2 linked regions of the Rattus norvegicus genome follow. The protein of the gene in region 1 binds, or shares a complex with, the protein of each later gene. Links are inferred from orthologs where the notes say so. Each region holds a gene or a part of one and is shown on either strand. Other genes may lie near its edges.

Region 1 (3,811 bases):
ACAGGCATGAGTCCCCGGCCTGGCTGATCCACCTTTTTAAACCATAAATAGCTAGCTTCCTTCTTGGTCGGTTTAGTAGTAGGGTTATATAAAGCATCACAGTGGCTGTGACCTGTCACCCAAGGTTTTAGCTTGATGAATTTAAGATAGTAGAGAATGGTAGAAATGTTTAAGATTGACTCAGAATGTCTCGCTGCATTACGGAAGGACAACCCTCACTTAAGCCTCCCCTGCTGGTGTCTTGCAGAGCGTTTGAAACGTGAGGAACGACGTAGAGAGGAGCTTTATCGTCGGTATTTTGAGGAGATCCAGCGGCGCTTTGATGCTGAGAGGCCTGTGGATTGCTCTGTTATCGTGGTCAACAAACAGACGAAGTAAGAAGCCTGTGCTTGTTTCTTCTTGGTGTGGAAAAGGGGTCAGTGCTTAGCAGCTCCACTCCCTGACCTTGCTGGCTTACTCTCTTATTACCTGAGCTTGAATTAAGAGTTTTTTCACTCAATGACAAAAAACCCAACATAAAGGGGTTGAAAACAAACTAAAAAGTTTGCTTAAATGGGAAGTTCAAACATGGCCTCCTCTAAAGTCTAACTGTGAGCAAAACATGTTCCCTGTCAGTTTCTCCTTCATGCGTTCCTTGCTTATGCCCTGTTTCTGACCATGTTTTCTACTTGAAGAGTCAGAGTGGCAATGACTTTAGACATGTATCTTCTTAGCTTAGCAAACCTACTAAAGATGAGGCTTCTCTTCCTGATATATTCATATTTGTGTTCTCTCTCTCTTTCTCTCTCTCTCTCTCTCTCTCTCTGTCTGTCTGTCTGTCTCTCTCTGTGTGTGTGTGTGTGTGTGTGTGTGTGTGTGTGTGCGCGCGCGCATGTGCGTGCACATAAGTGTATGGTGTTACAAAAGCCAAATGACAGCATAGGCTCTCTTTCTTGCCTTGTTCTGTTGAGAAAGGACTTCTCAGCCAGGCAGGGGTGACACACACCTTTAATCCTAGTAAACAGGAGGCAGAGACAGGCAGATCTCTGAGTTCAAGGACAGCCTGATCTACAAAGTGAGCTCCAAGACAGCAAAGACAGCCAGGGCTATACAGAGAAACTCTCAAAAACTCAAAAAAGAAAAAAGAAAGGGCCTCTTTTTAAACCTAGAACTACTGTTACTCTGCTAAGTTATCAACTGTAAAACACCACAGTTCTCCTCCGCTCTGTCTCTGGAATTACAGATGCACTCCATCCTACCCAGCTTTTATGTGGTGCTACCGTCCACACTTGTGTCTTCCTACTTACTCAGCAAGTAGGCCGTCTCTCGCCATCCCTTCCAGGGCTCTACTGGACGTCTTAGATTCTTCCTGAGACTAAGCTAGCTTATCATAACTCCCAACCCTGAGGTGTCGCTTTGGACTGGGGCCCAGAATACTGTGATTTACAAGGGCTGGGTTTAGAGGTGAAGTTAGCCTTGCAGAACCATGGGAACTGAGAATAAGAGTGGAAGTGTACTCGAGTCAAGAAAACCCCACCCACTTCCACAGCAACCACCTTGAATCCTGTAGGACCTGTTAAGTGACCACATTAACCAAGTCAGGGTCCTAACAGCTCTCTGTTAAGTGTTCACAGTTGGCTAGAGCTGGGTTCTGGTTCTCATGGAGTTAGGAAATCCTTATGTTTTCTAGCCATCTACTGTTACAGATGCTCATTTCAAAAGTGCAGTGACTAGGAAATCTGTTAAGATAGCAGCTAGCAGACAAGAGTTCAAAGGCTTTGGGCTGCCTTACCTTTTCAAGATGCTAAATAAGTAGTCATCATTTTCTAAGCACCTACCCCATACGGCCCACTGGGTGCTTTACATAAACAATTTGTAACCTCCTCTGTAATTAGGGTAAGAGTCTGCATGTGTGCGTGAGAGAGAATGGCTAGGTACTGAGACTGCAGTAGTAATAAGCAGATCTCAGACTGGTGAGGAAGGTGACAAAAATACATAGACAATGAGTTCTGTGAGGGGAAGGACCAGAGGTTTAACTTAAATTGGAGGCAGAATCAAATGACAGGATCTAAGTCATGTTCCTGTGCTACTGGCTCTGAGAAAACAACTGAGTTTGCTAAGAGTTAAAAGACTTACTCGGAGCCTCACTTCTGACTCAGGCAGGTCTTACAAAGGACAACATTTCATTGGGGCTGGCTTACAGGTTCAGAGGCTCAGTCCATGGTGGGAGCATGGCAGCATCTAGGCAGACTTGGTGCTGGAGGAGCTGAGAGTTCTACATCTTGATCTGAACGCAGCCAGGAGCAAGTTCACTTCCACAGTGACACACTTCCACCAACAAGGCCACACCTCCAAATAGTGCCACTTCCCGTGGGCCAAGCATTCAGAGCACAACAGCTTTACAAGTAAATGCTGGAACTGGAATCCTAACTCACATATTTACCATCAAAGCACATTGTGTTCCCGTACAGCCTCCTCAAGGGTTGAAGAGTACAGCAGGTCCTAGAGAGCGGCAGGTATTGGACTAGAGAATCAAAAGAAAGGTGTCAACCAGTTGTGGTGAGACCTATAGTCTCAGCACTTCAGAGGGGAGGAGAATTACTTCAGGTTTAGGGGGAGCCTGGGCTACATGGTGAGATCATGTCTTGAGACACATACACCCATTCCAGAATGCCAGGGCTGCTACAGTGCAGAGCCTGTGTAGTATGTGTGGGCGGTATGACTAAGGAAGCCCTACTGATGGAGAAGAGAGAGGGTGAGACTTTGACCTTCTAGGTAGAAACTGCCCAGTTAATGTCATTGATCATTAATACTGTTTATTCAAACAAATTCATCAGATGCTCTGGGCAAAATCAGTTATGGAAGGTTAACCTGATAAACTAGACCCTAGGAAGGATCCGCACTCATTTCCTTCATCAGACTCCTTGGCTTTATTCCAGGTCTAGGACCAGAGCGGTCATGCAGGCTAGTGTAGGTGTAGGATTGCCTAGTTTGCTGTTGGTTTTTATTCAGTCATCAAACATGATACTGATGAACAATATGGCCACTAAGTCTAGTTGGCATATAGGACTGACAGGGAACCTATGGGTCCCAGGACAAAGGTTCTACTGCCTCAGAAAGACTGAACCTGGGTGCTTAGAGGAAAAGACAAATAAGGTTGTGAGTAGATTGAAGTAGATTTAGTTTTTGGCCCATCCCATTACTCTCTTCATGAAGAAAGGAGTATGAGCATTGGTGGTGATGTGGCTGAAGGATAAGGAAGAGAAAGAAGGAGGAAGACGGTCTACTAGGACCCATAATGCACAACGCTGGTTCCATTGAAGAGGCAGAAGAAAAGGACGATGGAGAAGTACACTGGTAAATGAAGTCTGTCCATCCAGAGAACCCTTGTCTCAGAAAACCAAAACACAGAGAAGAGTTTGATAAAATCAAAGCTTCTTTGGGGCAGAAATCCTAGTGATGCAGGGTATCCTCTCCTTAGGATTCACCAGCAATTGGGGATAACAGTGGGCTACACAACCACACGTCAGCAGCTCCTCAATAGCACAGGAGCACCATTGTGGATTCCAAGGAGCTCCTTCTTTTAAGTATTTCCTATGAAATGTTGCATCAAAGCAAAATTTGGAAAGCTATCAGAAAGAATTTGGTCAAAACATGCTTAGAACGTTTTGTTCATTAAACTGGCAGAAGAACCAGAGGGAGCTCAACAGTTACGGACACACAGTGCCTGCCCTGCTGGGGGAGCTGTGTTCAATTCTCAGCGCTGCATGGGGGCTGACCACCTTCTCTAGCTACAGTCCTAGAGGATCCGGTGCCCTCGTCTGGCCTCCTG
Region 2 (4,576 bases), on another chromosome or scaffold:
ACAAGTACCATTAAATGAACTGATTGTTTAAGACCTCTACTTCAACTTTGCTACCCAAGGCAGAAGGAGGAAGGACTGAGTGATACAGGACACACAGACACACGGGAAAGGGTACAGGGACGTGCAGATTGGGGAGTACCAATCTCACCCTTTCCTTTCCTCACCGGAATGGTCTCAGTAGGTAGCCCCTCTCCTGTCCACTCTACCTTTCCTAACCCTCAAGGATGACATTTTACCTTATAAATGGGGAAGAGTACAGGACTCTTAGCTTAACTGAAACGTGCACATAAGACGATGGGGGCAGTGAGGCTTTCGGCAGCCTTTGCTCATAGTTTTTAAAGTAGGTTCTTTTCCACATGTGTAGTCTGTGGTGCCTACCTGTGGGACTCATAAACCCAGGCCTCAGGAAGGTCCCCAAAGGCATTTTGGTTACACCTGAAATGTTGAGGTTGGCGTTGTACAAGTTTCCCTCCAAATACCCCTTGGTTTTCTTCTATTACATTTCCATCCATCAAGAAACACATTCCGGGCCTGAAGAGACAGCTCTGCTGTTAAGATAGCAAGCTGCTCTTGCATAGAAGCTGAGTTCTGCCCCAGCACCCATGCCCAGGAGGGAATCCCACACCTATATTCTCCGTGGGCATCTGCACGCGTGCCCTCAAGCCCACGTGTGCATAATTTAAAAGATAAAAAGTAGATCTTTGGGGCTGGAGAGATGGCTCAGAGGTTAAGAGCACTGGCTGCTCTTCCAGAGATTCTGAGTTCAAATCCCAGCAACCACATGGTGGCTTGCAACCATCTGTAATGGGATCCGGTGCCCTCTTCTGGTGTGTCTGAAGACAGCTACAGTGTACTCATTAAATAAATCTTTAAAAAAAAAAAAAGTAGATCTTTGAAACCCTTCATAAACGCCCCATGATGTGTGCGGATGGCCTGACCACTAATTAGGTACACGAGTGACACCAGGTCGGCCTACAGGTCATTTGTTTTCCTTTTAACTTTTGCCACCACAGACTGCCTTAAAGCCAATTGTTTCTTAAAAAAAAACAAAAAAAACAAAAAAAACAAAAAACTAAGGCGTGATCCCCTGCCTTTGTAGAGTAGGGTCACTTCCAGGTTAACGCTGTGGAGCTGGGAGGATCCGAGCTGCCATCAGGGGGCGCCAGAGACCCTTTGGGACAAGGAAGAGAGGAGCCCTGTAAAAGCGCAGGCAGATTTTTTCCAGGTGAATTCCCTCGTTGTTTTTTTTTCTCTCCACTTCCATCGCCAGCCGCTGGTAGACACGCATTCAAACCTCCGCCTCCAGCCCTTGCCTTTCTGGGGCTCAAGCTAACACTCCCTGGAAAGGGATCTGATTTCATTACTCCGTTATTACTGCTTATTTCGGTGCTATTACCAGAACCCGGGGCCTGGCCCATGCTTCTTAAGGAGAGTTGTCAGACCTAAGCATTTAATGACACGCGCGTGGGTCAAAGTATGGAAACAAGATGAAGTGTGGTCCCTGGACGCACGCAGTCAAGTCCAGAATTCCTGGGGATCTGGTCAGAAATTCCCATTCCCGGGCTCCATCTCGGTTCTCCATCGTCAGTCTCTTGGAAGGGGGGTGTCCCTAGTGGATGACTGTGAAGAGGCTGGAGGTCGACATCCAGTGGATCCGGTTGCGCGGCGCGGGAGTGCCTGAAATCTCCGGCTCCGGGTTTGTGGTCACGTGAACTTTTTAGCTACCCTCCCACACTCTTTTCTAGGTCTTTAAAAGACGCACTAACATCCGTTAGTCGTGGGTAATCTTTGCAGCTTCTCCAGCTGCTGGCCTTTTTGAAACGCACTCTCAGGTCCCTGCCTTCAGCGAGGCTTCTAGAATCAGCCACCTCTTGAAACTTCTTGGTGGGGAGCTGGCCCAGGGGGAGCGGCTGGTGCTGCCACTGGCATCCCTAGGCACCCAGGTCTGCAATAAAGTCTGGCAGCCACTGCATGGCTGAGCGACAACCAGTGGCTGGGAGTCCGGCTCTGTGGCTGAGGAAAGCACCTGTCTGCATTTAGAGAATGCAAAATAGAGAATGTTTACCTGCCAGGTAAGTGTCCCTTTGCTCATTGTGAGGCTTAATTGAATTTGTGGGAGGCCAGCAGAGTTTAGAACAATAAAGCGGCTGGGGCTGGGGGATAGATGCAACTCTACTGAACACTACCGGAAACGGAAATTTTATTGACTTTTGGATTTTTGGTTTTTTGTTTTTTGCTTTTTTTTGTATGAACATAATTGTCCTTTTAAAGGAAGAAAATTCCTGTGATTTTCCTAGCAGTGGATAAGATGATGAATCTTCTTCCTTGAGTATTGTGGACCTGGGAAGCTGTGTCTATCTTAGGCAGGTGATCCTGGCTTGAATCCTTAGTCGTGTCAGAAATGGAGTTTGACTTCTTCCCTGGATAGTCAGAGAGAGAGAGAGAGAGAGAGAGAGAGAGAGAGAGAGAGAGAGAGAGAGAGAGAGAGAGAGAGAGAGAGAGAGAGAGACTTCTCTTATATGCCGGAGAGGAATCTAACTGTTGCTTCTTCCAGATTATTTGTGGTGACTATTTCATAGTGGAAGGAGGAAATCAGGTCAAGTGAATACTGTTGGTTTTGTGTGTGTGTGTGTGTGTGTGTGTAAAACAAAACTATGAATCTGAGCTCTATTAAGAAAGCAAGCCTGGTGATTTTACTTAGGATTTAGAAGGCAGGTTTCTGTTTGGCACATAGTACCCTGGAGGAAAGATTTTTATGTCTTGTTCTATTTCAAGTGTTTTTGTGAGCATTCCACTTGAAATTTCATTGTTCCTGTGGTGATCCGGCTCACGGTGGATATTTCCTCTCTCTCCGTGTAAATGTTATTTAAAGAGTGAAAGGAGAGATTAGAAAGTGGATATATATTGACAACAAGGAGGATGTAATAGGGAGCTTCACTTTCCAGGACAAGGCTCTACCTGTCCTCAACCTGCCGGTCTTGACCCCCTTGAGAACCCTTGACCTTCAAAGACATTTACATTGCGATTCATAACAGTAGCAAAACTACAGTTATGAAGTGGCAACAAAACTAATTTTGTGGTTGGAGGTCACAATAACGGGATGGATTGTGTTAAAGGGATTGCCCCAGTAGGAAGGCTGAGACCCACTGCTCTCCAGACATTCTATCTGAAGTAAACGATGAGGGTTTATCAGTAAGTGATAAAGCAGGAATTTTAGGTTTCCATTTTATGTTCATAGTTGTCTAGATGAATCTGAAACTTTTATGTAAAGAGCAGTTTTAAAGGCAACCCTTTAAGTCTTGCTCAAGATATATAAATGTTTGAAATTAACAAAAAGCAGGTAGAAGACAATTTCAAGGTGGGTCTGAGGAACCCAAATGGATCTAGTCAGATTTGATATCTCTCAGAATTTACTTTTAATATAAAAAATGTGAAATTTAGTACTAAATTCAACATATCAAATATATAAACTAGCACTTAATGGGCTCCTTCTAAAGGCAAAAGCACTGTCTTATTTAATGTGTATTAAACAGGCAACGACTTAAAATATATTTCATTTTTCAAAAAAAATACATTTCATTTTAAAATTTTAGCTGATGTTTTGAGTCATTTTATGGAATGATTAGAAAGTGGTTATATAAAATCCTGAGGAATAAATTCCAATCATTTCTAGGTAAGTTGTTTCAATTATGTATGCAAAGCCCTTGAAGCTTGACCCTTTGGTTATTAGACTTCATAATTCAGGATTTATTTAGTACATTGTAATAGAAATTTGAAAAAGTGATCCGTATTGCAGTATTGTTTACAGACAGTTTGCCTTTAAGCTTTTAAAAGAAAGACCACTGAAAGATTCATGATAGAGAAGAGTCAGCCTTTTCTCATTTTCCGAAGATACACATTCAGTTTTAACGAGTTGCCTATAAGTTCCTTATTAGTGGTCAATTTTATGGTTGTTTTAGGGTAAGTTTTCTTTGTTCCTATCATGAAATTGATTGAGGGCCTTAATACTTTTCTTCGGAAAAGGCACGTGCAAAGGTAATAACTGCTAAGCAGAAGCACGCAGGAAGAATGTGTGAGGCTTAAGAGGTGTCTCCAAGGGGCGGGGGATGTTGGCCACTTGGTATGGTCTTTCTAGCTAGCACAAAGCCCTGACCTCTAGCCACAGAACCACATGAATCAATCATGGTGGTCCTTGCCTATAATCCTAGAGCTCAAAATATGGAAGCAGGAAGATCAGGAGTTTAAGGATGGCCTTGGCTACATAGCAATTTTTATGCCAGCCTGGACTGCATGAGACCTTGCCTTAGAAAAGGAAAGAGGAAGAAGAGAAATGTCTTTATACATATTTTTCGTGTCCATGGAATTCTCTCTGGTGTGTGTGGGCGTGGGTTTTTACTTTGATGGGGAGCACAGGTGTGGGATGTGTGGAGGGGGTGCTTTGTGGAGGGGGATGGGCAGCTGGAAGAAGAATGGAGCTGGCCTGTGGAAGCTGTCCTCGTCTGCAGGCCCAAGATCTGGTCCTCACAGGAGGTGGTAACTTCTCTGCACACGCAGAGCAGGCAAGGTGCTAATAGCC

What was found.
Region 2: the proteins of Ncoa5 (region 1) and Esr2 are in contact, whole or in part, in a crystal structure (PDB 4ZI1), measured with the Homo sapiens proteins. The link is inferred for Rattus norvegicus from reciprocal best matches to the Homo sapiens genes NCOA5 and ESR2. Residues at the interface, in NP_066018.1 of Homo sapiens: Ser344, Leu345, Ile346, Leu348, Leu349, Ala350, Asp351; in NP_001428.1 of Homo sapiens: Ile310, Lys314, Phe319, Leu324, Gln327, Val328, Leu331, Glu332, Leu490, Glu493, Met494.

The regions. Positions count from the first base shown.
Region 1 is NC_086021.1:174,161,100-174,164,910, reverse strand, and holds part of Ncoa5 (nuclear receptor coactivator 5), read left to right. Parts: intron 1-247; coding exon 248-374; intron 375-3,811. UniProt on the Homo sapiens protein: Nuclear receptor coregulator that can have both coactivator and corepressor functions.
Region 2 is NC_086024.1:100,641,885-100,646,460, reverse strand, and holds the start of Esr2 (estrogen receptor beta), read left to right. Parts: upstream 1-1,751; 5' UTR 1,752-2,072; intron 2,073-4,576.